Schizosaccharomyces pombe: one gene and its partners. Changing the gene in region 1 together with any one later gene gives a genetic interaction. Each region holds a gene or a part of one and is shown in the gene's direction. Other genes may lie near its edges. The genes, in order: pof7, mca1 and dfg501.

Region 1 (3,760 bases):
TTCCGGAAATACCGACGATATGTTTCGACTGGGTGTTAAATTTACAAGAAAAACTGTCAAGCTATTTTCCCAGTTTTACAATTCTGACATTATAGTTGCTAGTCCTTTGGGACTTCGTCTTGCTATTGGTAACAAGGGAGATAAAAAGCGAGACCTCGATTATTTGAGTTCGATTGAAATAGCAATGGTTGACCAAGCTCATGCTCTCGTGATGCAAAACTGGGAACATATTGAATGCATTTTTGATGAACTTAATGGTTTGCCTAAAGAAGCTCACGGTTGTGATTTCAGTCGTGTTCGTCCTTGGTATCTTGATCAGCAAGCCAGATATATGCGCCAAACTATACTATTTTCTCAATATAACAATCTAGATATAAATTCTTTCTTTTCTCACTACATGTCAAATATTGCTGGTAAGGTTAAATTTCGCTCGCTTCTTCACGGTGTTTTAAACCGCTTGGGGTACAAAGTGACTCAAACTTTTGTTCGCATTTCTGTCGATTCTATTATTAAAGTTCCAGATGCCCGCTTTTCCTATTTTACTGGTTCTATACTAGTACAACTAAAGAAGTATTCCCAGAGTGGTATTTTAGTTTATATACCTTCATATTTTGATTTTGTTCGTGTGAGAAATTACATGGATGAGGAGGGAATTAACTATTCTGCCATATCAGAATATTCGAGTGTATCCGATATGACTAGAGCCCGCAATCTTTTTTATCAAGGTAGAACCAATATAATGCTATATACTGAGCGCGCTCACCATTTCCGTCGATTTGACTTTAGGGGTGTAAAAGCTGTTGTGATGTATGGTCCCCCAACGAATCCTCAGTTTTATGTTGAACTTGTTAGAATGCCGATGAGAACCATCTCTGAAGGAAACCTTGACAGTGATGCAGCAAAGTGTAGAATTATGTATACAAAGTTTGATTCTATTTGCCTGGAAGGCATAGTGGGATATCAGCGTGTATCAAACATGTGTCATGGTAAACATGAAGTTTTTGAATTTCTTTAAAAGAATACGAAAAAAATTTTTTTAAAAAGGAATTAGGGGTCATTTGGATTTTTGGATGAAAGAGCTACAAAATTACTACTTTAAAACAATAGAATAGCTTAAAATGTACTTTATTTGGACCATTCCGCTTTGCTTTATTTATTGAGAGCGAATGAGTAAATAGCTACTTGAATGATTTAACTTGACAGTGCTTTTTAAATGTTTTCAATATATAATTTTTTTTATACTTATTTCAAGATTCATATAGCGATTGGAAGGCATCGTACATTATCAATGAGTTTGGTTTCGACTGTGTTCCCGAAACCATATCTAAATCTCAATTGCTTTTGACGAAGATATGCTGAGAATTATCCGAAAGCAAAGCGGGATATGTATCTACTCGTTTATTAACAATAAAAATCGCTATCATATTCACCATAAATAAATGCAGTAATGCTACATGAAGCTGGTAATTATTACAATAATTCATCAAATCGAAATGTTTTCTATATCGCTAAAATCCTAATATCCACTTAGCTTATTGCCAAGTAACTTTTGATTTGAACAAGTTTTAAGTTTATGTAATGGTTTCGCAAGTCCTAACGCCTTGTTAGAAGTGATAGAATCGAAGACACCTACAAATATGCCCATAGCCAAATAGCATCTCAAACATGTTACAATATTTATCTAGTCCATTTTTTAAACAGTAAAGAAGCGACGATTGACTCAATTTAATCTTCTTCTTCTTGTTATCAAACCGCCACAACTTGATATTAAACGCAACGGCTAACTACCCATGAACTAAACCATATTGTTACCAAAGTAAGGTCTTGTGAAAGGATGCTTTTAATCCTTAAATCCTTGTTAATACTTTGCTAGGAATTGTATGAAAAGTAAAAAACATAAAAGTCATTAGTTAGGTTCAGCACTATCTTAACCTCTTAATATTCGTGTTGAATTCTTTTTTTTTTTTTCTATTTTGAGAGAAATAAGTAAGAAAATATTTTCTTTTTCAATTATACATCTACTTTCGATTGCTCGTCTGAGAAATAAAATAAGTGATGAGTACAGTAGAGGATCAACTTTCTCTTGAACTTGAAACAGTGAACAAGGATATACTGTTGAAAAAAGCACTTTTACATTACAAAGATGCTATAAAATCTGAAAGAGAAGGAAATTTAGGTGAATCTCTTAATAAATATCGATTAGCTCATAAAGTCCATGAAGATGTGGAATCTATCTATCGGCGTTTGGAGCGTTTGCAACTGTGTAAAAGAAATGAAGAGGAGGAAATGTTAAATTCAGATGCATCAGAAGCTATGCTCACTGTTTCCTCAGTCCCATCTCCAACGTTAACGGAAAATGAGTCTGTAAATGAGTCGGTCGTTCCCAATATACTGAAGCTTCCCGACGAGGTTTTGCTAGTTATCCTAGAGAATTGCATTAGGGACCTTCATGATTTAAGATATCTCTCTTCAATTGCACTAACTTGTAAGCATTTTGCGAAGGCATTACGAGCAGATTCTCTATATAGATCGTTTTGTTATTGCAGTTGTGAACAAAAAGAATGGCAACAGTCTATTAAGTCAATAGAGGAAGAACTCGTGGAAAAATACCAGCAAAGCTGGAAGACTTTGTTCCTTAAAAAGCCTCGATCTCGTTTTGACGGATGCTACATATCCGTTTGTCGATACTTTCGACCTGGAACTAGTGACACGAGCTGGAACCAACCCATACATTTGATCACATACTACCGGTATTTACGACTTTATCCTAATTCAACATGTATCGTTTATCAAAGCAGTAATGAACCAAATGATGTTGTTCGCAACTTCAGTGTGCAAAACACCAGTCTTTTTTCTCCTATGTCGAGTTCTCCTATGTTTAGTAATGGAAACGTAGCACTCACTGGCTCCTGGTCAATGACTCCTTCTGGAGAAATGCTAATTGTGTATCCCGCAAGTCAAACTTATACATACGTTCAAAAACTTCAAGTTCGTGGAATAAGGCTTAAGTGGATTTCTTTCTACTCCATCCATAATTATACCTCATTCACGAACGAAATGCCACTCACTCACAATCGTGACTATGTTTTCTCCAGAGTATATAGCTATACTGCTGACTCAGAGTCACTAAAACGTGGCTAGTCTTACTTTTTGGAATACTAATTTAGAAACCGCGGAAATGATTAATTATCTATTATAGGTCGCATCGTGAGAGGATTTAAAGAAATTATTTTTTATTAATATTAATGCCATCATTATTCTTCGCATGGAAATATATCATTAACATACATTTACAAATGAACAACAGATGCTTAACAAATTTTTGGAAGTACAAAGTTATAAACAATCCTAAGTCCAAGGAAACATGCGTGATACTTGAGGAGAAAAGAGTAAATAGAATGCACAAAACTTAAAAAATAAAAGAGGAAAACCCACGAAATGGAATATTAAACGTATCAGTTTCTTGAAGTCCAGATCGAATATTCATAAAGAAAACCATAAAACCATTCGTAATCATGTTCGTAAAAAATCCCTGCTTTTTTACCACAAATAAATAAACTAAAGGCAACATAAAAAATCGCCATATCGAAGCATTGAATGACAAAAGTAAAACATGGAGAAATATCGGAGAGCAATAATTCAACATGAAGATTCCGTTTTAAAGTTAACAAACGGATTTATTTTGGATAATAAAATTAAAGTAAATTAGTTTCGTAAAGAGAAAAAGAGAAAGGATTAACGAAACTGTAGAAAATCGCTC
Region 2 (3,760 bases), on another chromosome or scaffold:
TTATTTAGTTTTACGGGATAACGAGTCAAAAATAATACTTCACTAATATTGGTCAAGAGATTAGCAGCTTATATTTAATATAATGCTTAGACTATACTTTCGTTTGGATTGTATACATAATTCAATGTATCTGAAAATATGTTGGATTGAATTAATGCGTCGTTTATAGACTATATTGCCGATATTTAGGGACGAAGTAAAACTCATTACTAGAAAAAGTCAAACTGTAAAATATAAACAAACATCAATTTTAATTTCTTTTAAATAAGATAAATCTCAGCTTCCACTTTTTTTACTGTACACGTTAAAAAAAAAATCAACCATACGGATCAATCTCAGCTATTTTACTATGCCGGCGTTTGAGCAACAATGGTAGTTATTTTGCTTCTTTTTAAAATATTTTACCTCCTTTGTTGTTGACTGTATCCATTTTGTGCATTGATTGTTTGATAAAATGGTATGTTTGGCATTACAGGAGCACCAGGTATGGTAGCAGCAGCAGGAGAAGGAGAAGCCATCACCATTCCTGGTGGTGGAGGGGGGACAAGTGGTGCACCTCCAGGGCCCATTGGAACATTCATCATTGGCATAGCAGGCATTCCAGGGAAATGCTGTGCAGCAGTGAAAGGAAGAACATTAGGTATTGACAAGGGAGGGACGGCAGTAGTTGCTCCCACTAGAGGAACATTCGGTACAGGAGGTATCGATGTAGCAGCAATTGTTGCTGGAGTATTAGCAGCAGATGTTGGAGCAGGAGTGGCGGGTGAAAATCCTGGAGGCAGAGTACTCTGAGGAGTAACGGCAACTTTATTCTTTTTAGCGGCTGCTGCTAGCTTTCTTTCCGCAATATCTCCGTGACGTTCACCCTTTCCTTCGCGTTTAAAGGCGTATGACACGGTAATTGGTTTATTCATTAAAAACTGATTATTCATGGCCTCAATGGCTGCATCAGCGGTTTCAAAAGAATCGTAGCTAACAAAACCATAACCTTTCGACCTTCCATTCTCGTCTCTTGCTACCTGAGGTGCCTTGACAAGTTGTCCCAAAGCAGAAAATGTATCGTACAATACGCGTTCATCAACAAGAGGATCCAAGTTGCCAACAAATAAATTTGCACCAATTAAGGTATTGACTCCTCTGTCCTGGCTAGCTCTATTGACCCTTATAGGCTTTCCAAACAACTTTACTTGATTCAGAATTTGACATGCATACTCAACATCTTGTTCGTGTAAGAATTCGCAGAAACCAAAGCCATTATGACTATTCCTTACTCTATCTCTTGGAATATGAATATTTACTGTATGAATTAGTATCGAAAGCCACAAATACAACCAACACTCGAATAATTACATACCAACTGGACCTGCCTGCAGGCATAACTCAAACAAAATAGAATCCGTTACTTTTTCATCAAGATTGCCAAGATATATAGTTGCATCCTGATTCCTGTCTTCTCGAATACTCATTAATAAATAAGTAAAAATAAGTTAAAGTGTCTATTATAGAAATTTATTAGAATAAATAGATAGACACGTTTGAAGACGCTGGTAGAAGATTCAAGAAATTGGTGCATAGTCTCGTTATTGACTTAATGACGAGCACCAAATAGCACAATAGAAAACTAAATTACAGTATTCATCGTTAAAATTTCAGTGTCCAGCGTTTTCCAAACACATTTATGGAGATTTTTAATACTAAATCTTCGTTTTTTTTTTATTATTTTATAATTTTACTCATGAGATTGAATTATATTCAAGTTGAAGGTACAGTTGTGAATGGTAGACTGACGAAATATTTTTTATAGCAACCTATCTCTTTATACAGCCCTAATTTCCTTACATCCATCGTACACTAGTACATTTAATAGGTTCATTTATTAACTTTTTGTAAAAACGATGTTTGGCCATGTATATTTATTTTTGCTGCTGTAGTTTTGAACACAACTGAGGGCTTATTTATGTTACCCTAGATGGGCTTTTTACTCCCATGTGGTCTTTGTAACCTTCTTATGATCTTCACCCTTCAGGTGATACCACGACTTCAGTTGAATTTTATAGCTTTTCGAGTGTGTTTTTAATCAAAATATTTCTGTGATGTTGGTGTTTTGAAAAAGCGTACTTGTGTAGTCCTAGATGCCCCTTTTTTCTTTCACTTAAGTCTATTATTGTTTATGTTTAATTTTCTACTTGCAAACTTTTCGAAAGGACTGTTCGTAGCCTTTACGTTTATTGCTTATTTATTTTTTCTGATTTAAGCTCGTGAGCTTTTTCTAACAGACGTACGATCAGACAATTGGCACGTCTGCTTTTCTTTTCTTTTCTTTTTTAAGACCTGTCTACTCAACGCAGGATTTCTTCGATTATCTAGGTTTTTAAACGGTTTAAAAGGACACAGAATATTTTATTACTTCATTTTAGTATTTTATTTTCGACATGATTGCTGCTGTCGAAAAAGATGCTGTGCCTCGAAAAAGGCGAGTAATCAGTCAAGTATCTCAGGCATGCATTCGGTGTAGGCAGAAAAAAATAAAGTGTTCTGGTGAAAAGCCATCATGTCAAGCTTGCAGTAACAACAAAGTTGAATGCATTTGGCCTGATCGACCGAATATGCGAGGCAAAAAGCCATCTTCCGCTGCCAGAACCTTGAGTCCTCTTACTGGTATAGTGCAACCGTATCTGGGCTCTCATCCTTTTTCTCCTACGATCCTCTCTCCATCATCTCCTAACATGGATTTTACTTACTCTATTAATAGCTTTGGTGACTATCAGAAGCAGTTAAGGCTACCAACCAGTAGAAAGTTATTACAGCTTTGGGACATATTTCTTAAAACTTCATATACCGAACTTTTTGGGATATTTAATAAGGCCCAAATTACGTCTCAAATTGCAAGTGATACTGCTCCGCCAGTCCTCGTACTTTGTATATGTGCTCACGCTGCTCGTTTCAGTCAAGAGGAAGTCAATAGATTTAAATCTTCAACTGCAGCATCTGATTACTACGCAAACCAAGCCTTTTCACTGCTTCCTTGTCGTTTCCAGGATATTTCACTGACTAATATCACTTGCCTGCTCTTGCTTTGCTTAATTGAGTTGGGCTCTTGTAGAGGCGCTAAAGCCTGGCTTTTACTGGGTATGGCTCTCCGTATGGTCGATTCTTTAGATCTTGGTAACGAAATAAATGATAATCCTCTTACGATGGGATCCAACACTGTTTCATGGACTGAAGCCGAGCAGAAAAGAAGGGTTTATTGGGCTTGTTTTTTTGTCGAACGTTTGCTAAGTACAGGTTACATGGCACCTTCAAAATTGCGCTCACTTTCTTTATCTCTTCAAAAGACTAGTATACAATTACCTTGTCCGGAACCTAATTTTTTATTTAATCAGCCAATTCTTACTGAGTTATTTGATGGATCTTTACCGGAAAACACTCAGTCAGACACCACTTCAATGGCCCCATACCAAAGAAGTTTACAACTGGAGTTTATGACGGGTTCCCTAATCCGCTTGTCAAATTTGTGGAGTGAGATCTCAAGATGGGCTCTATGTGGTGGATACACGAAAGATATCACACCCCCTTGGCTAAATCAGTCTCAATTCCATCGTAGCTTTGAGCTTTTAAAAGCCTGGCATGAAAATTTACCTCCAAGAGCAGTTTGGTCATACACTAACTATTCGGCGTATAGTTCTCCCGGAGAATCGGCTGGTGCCTGTTACACTTTTATGCATTTGCTATATCACACTACCTTGACCTATCTTCTGAG
Region 3 (3,760 bases), on another chromosome or scaffold:
TTTCGCGTTTGCATTTGACTTTGATGTAACTTCAGATGGTAAGTCTGCCAGTTGTCTCGCACCCAATTTGAATATATCTTATTAACCATATTTAAGATTCCATAAATAGTGCCTTGACTACCGTCACTGACGGAATGCTCAATTATTATCAAAGCACTTCTCATACATTTACAGCTTACTGGTGGATGACAGGAGCTGGCCTTAATTCAATGACAGACACTTATGCTGCAACTGGAAATACAACGCATCTTGACATGCTAATTAGTGCCCTTGTAGCGAATAAAGGCGACAATAACGATTATGCTCCTAATAGCGAAAAATTTGATTTGGGCAATGACGACCAAGGTATTTGGGGCCTCAGTGCTATGTCAGCTGCAGAAGTTAACATGACTACTGGTGATAGTTCTGCCTCTTTTACGGAATTGGCTCAAGCCGTGTTTAATGAAATTATGTCTAGGTGGGATACTAGTTCATGTGGTGGTGGTGTCCGCTGGCAAATATATTCTTTCAATAACGGTTATTCTTATAAGAACTCCATTAGTAATGGAATTCTTTTTCAGCTCGCTGCTCGTCTTGCACGTTATACTAACAACGATACCTATGTTGATCTTGCGCAAAAGGTTTGGGACTGGTCTACAACTGTGGGTTTTGTTGATTTAGACGATTATACTGTATATGACGGTGCTTCAGTAACTTCAAATTGTAGTTCTATTACGAATGAACAATGGAGTTACAATGTAGGTGTCTACCTTGCTGGCACTGCATTCTTATATAACTATACGAATGGCAGTTCTGTGTGGCAAACCCATATGGAAGGTTTAATGAATAAGGCACTTGATTATTATTTTACTTCTGACAAAATTATTTATGAACCTTCTTGTGAGCCAACTGAATCTTGCAATTCAGACCAGACTGCTTTTAAGGGAATGCTAGCTCGATTTCTTGGTTATACGATGCAGTTAGCTCCTTATACCGTTGAAACTATTCTGCCCTATATACAAAGCAGTGCAGAAGCTGCCGCCCTTGCTTGTAGTGGGGGATCTGATGGTGTCACTTGTGGTTACATGTGGTATTGGAATAACGGTACTTGGGACGATCATTATGGCCTTGGCGAGCAAATATCAGCTGTTGAAACTTTCCAAGCGCTTCTTGCACAACAAAGTGCTACAATTTTAACTTTAGATACCGGTGCATCTTCTGAATCCAATCCAGATGCAGGAACGGACGATGGTGATACCGTTACGATTACTCCAGCAACAAAGAGCGATAAAGGCTGGGCCGGATTTCTCACTTTTGCTTTTTCATTTGTTTTCCTTTTGTTTTCTATCTGGCTTTATTTTTGAGAATTTATTTGACGATAAGTTTAATATACAGCCGCATTTGCATTTTTATACCAAACCATTCCAAATTACTTTTGGTTAGAGGCAAACTTTGGTTTTTCTTCTTATTTTATTATTTATTTCTGTTGATTTAAGGTATTTACGATATTTAACTTTCTTTGAGCATCGTTTACTGAATTATGCCATGGTGGTTAGTACCACTTTATTTGATTGAAGGTTTTGACGTTGCAAAAAGCATCTTAAAAGTTTTGTTTAATATCCCATTGATCGCCTTTCCATCATTTGCATTTGGCAACTCTATTGGTCTGTGACTTGCTATTTCAACTTACATATTCATTTCATCTAATTTATAAGAGATCTTTGCATTCGTTTTTATTTGTCAATTTTGCATATTGTTACACTTTATTTCTTTGAATGTTATTAACATCTTTATGTTTGATACATTCCCCTATAGTCATTTAAGCTTTCTTTTTTTTTTAATCGAAAATTTTGTGCTTTAAATTTTTTTAGTCATATATTAACTCAAAATACAAAAGAAACGCTCTAAGTTATTTCTTATCACATAATATGTTTTAAAGAGTAAGATTTAACTATTATATATGTTAAAATGATCTACTTCGTATAGTATCGAATGCTCGGACAACTTTCACATGCATCGGAGCTCGACACTGTGGTACACCGTACTACTTTTGTGTCATCGTTCCTTCCGACAGCACATCACGATTTTTCACAAGCCATAAGTTAGAACTGTTCTGATTCATTCAAATCTTTAAAAATATTAAACAATCTTTTGTTGGCATACTGATTCGAAAATTTTCCATATTTTAATTTCAAAATTGGGAGAGTAGACGGACTTTGGTAACCCGTCCAGAACATTTGATATTCATCAAATACTTGGGTTTATTTCATGGTTTATTGTTTATTCAATTGGTTATTTTGTGGTATTAATTAAACTAATTATAATTTTGAATCTCCTCCTTCCCTCAAAGAAATTTACTTTGAAAATTTCTCTTCTTATCTACCATCCTCTTCTAATTAATACCTTTAATCTAATTAAACCGTAAAAATGAATATCTATAGTGTGGGCTTGTTTTATTTTTTTCTCGTTTTCATCGGAGCACAAGCTATGGATTTGGATATAACAGATTATCAATCTATTGATAATACCGTCAATATTATGATGAAAGACTTGATGAACTATTGGAATGCAAGCAGCCAGGCATTTGTTGCTTCATACTGGTGGGTTACTGGTGCTACTATGGGCGCTCTGCTTTATAACTATGAACTTTTTAATAATGACACATATGTCGATCTTATTTCTTCTTCTTTACTTTATAATGCTGGTAGCGGATTTGACTATCAGCCCTCGTTTGAATACTTTAATCTCGGAAATGATGATCAAGGCATGTGGGCTGCCGCTGCAATGGATGCAGCAGAGGCTAACTTTAGTCCCCCAAATTCAACAGAACATTCATGGTTGGAGTTAACGCAAGCGGCGTTTAATCGTATGTCCGGACGTTGGGATTCAAGCACGTGTGGTGGTGGTTTACGTTGGCAAGCTTTTGCTTGGTTGAATGGATATAGCTATAAAGCTTCAGTTAGTAATGCATTGCTCTTTCAACTAAGCTCTAGACTTGCTCGTTTTACAAACGAAAGTGTCTACTCGGACTGGGCTAACAAGATATGGGATTGGACCACCGACGTTGGATTTGTCAATACCACAACTTATGCTGTGTATGATGGCGCCGATACTTCGACGAATTGTACAACACTGGATCCATCTCAATGGTCTTACAACATAGGTATCTTTATGGTTGGCGCTGCATATATGTATAACTACACTGGAGAAACAGTATGGCGTGAACGGCTTGATGGCCTTATTAGCCATGCTACGTCTTACTTCTTTACTGATGATATAGCTTGGGACCCCCAATGTGAATACTTCGACGACTGTAATTCCGACCAAACTGCATTCAAGGGTATTTTTATGCAAAGTTTTGGAAATACCATTCGACTGGCTCCTTATACTTATGATACACTGTATCCACTAATTCAGACTAGTGCTGCTGCTGCTGCTAAGCAATGTTGTGGTGGTTACAGTGGTACTAGTTGCGGTATTTATTGGTTCTGGAACAATGGGACGTGGGATGATAATTATGGCGTTCAAGAGCAGTTTTCTGCTTTACAAGCCGTTCAGATGTTAATGATTGAATATGCTCCTGAAATAGCAACCCTTGCTAGCTCGACCGACAATCGATCTAACAGTACATATGCTTCTAACGTTGTGATTAACGATACCAATACAACGACAACAATAGTAGTTAAAGAAAAAGATCGTGGAGGAGCAGGATTTTTAACTTTCCTCTCTGCCATTTTCATTCTAGGAGCTTCAATATGGGCCCTTGTTGAGGACGAGGAGG

What was found.
Region 2: mutations in pof7 (region 1) and mca1 together harm fitness more than expected from each alone (negative genetic interaction), as found in Schizosaccharomyces pombe (one large-scale study listed by BioGRID).
Region 3: mutations in pof7 (region 1) and dfg501 together harm fitness less than expected from each alone (positive genetic interaction), as found in Schizosaccharomyces pombe (one large-scale study listed by BioGRID).

The regions. Positions count from the first base shown.
Region 1 is NC_003421.2:2,371,375-2,375,134, reverse strand, and holds pof7 (F-box protein Pof7), read left to right. Parts: upstream 1-1,797; 5' UTR 1,798-2,055; coding exon 2,056-3,141; 3' UTR 3,142-3,621; downstream 3,622-3,760. Other genes in the region: U3 associated protein Utp25, read left to right, coding at 1-1,015.
Region 2 is NC_003424.3:2,987,102-2,990,861, reverse strand, and holds the start of mca1 (transcription factor), read left to right. Parts: upstream 1-2,008; 5' UTR 2,009-2,432; coding exon 2,433-3,760. Other genes in the region: U2 snRNP-associated RNA-binding protein Sap49, read right to left, coding at 402-1,297, 1,355-1,466.
Region 3 is NC_003423.3:182,872-186,631, reverse strand, and holds the start of dfg501 (mannan endo-1,6-alpha-mannosidase), read left to right. Parts: upstream 1-2,046; 5' UTR 2,047-2,406; coding exon 2,407-3,760. Other genes in the region: dfg502 (mannan endo-1,6-alpha-mannosidase), read left to right, coding at 1-38, 97-1,343.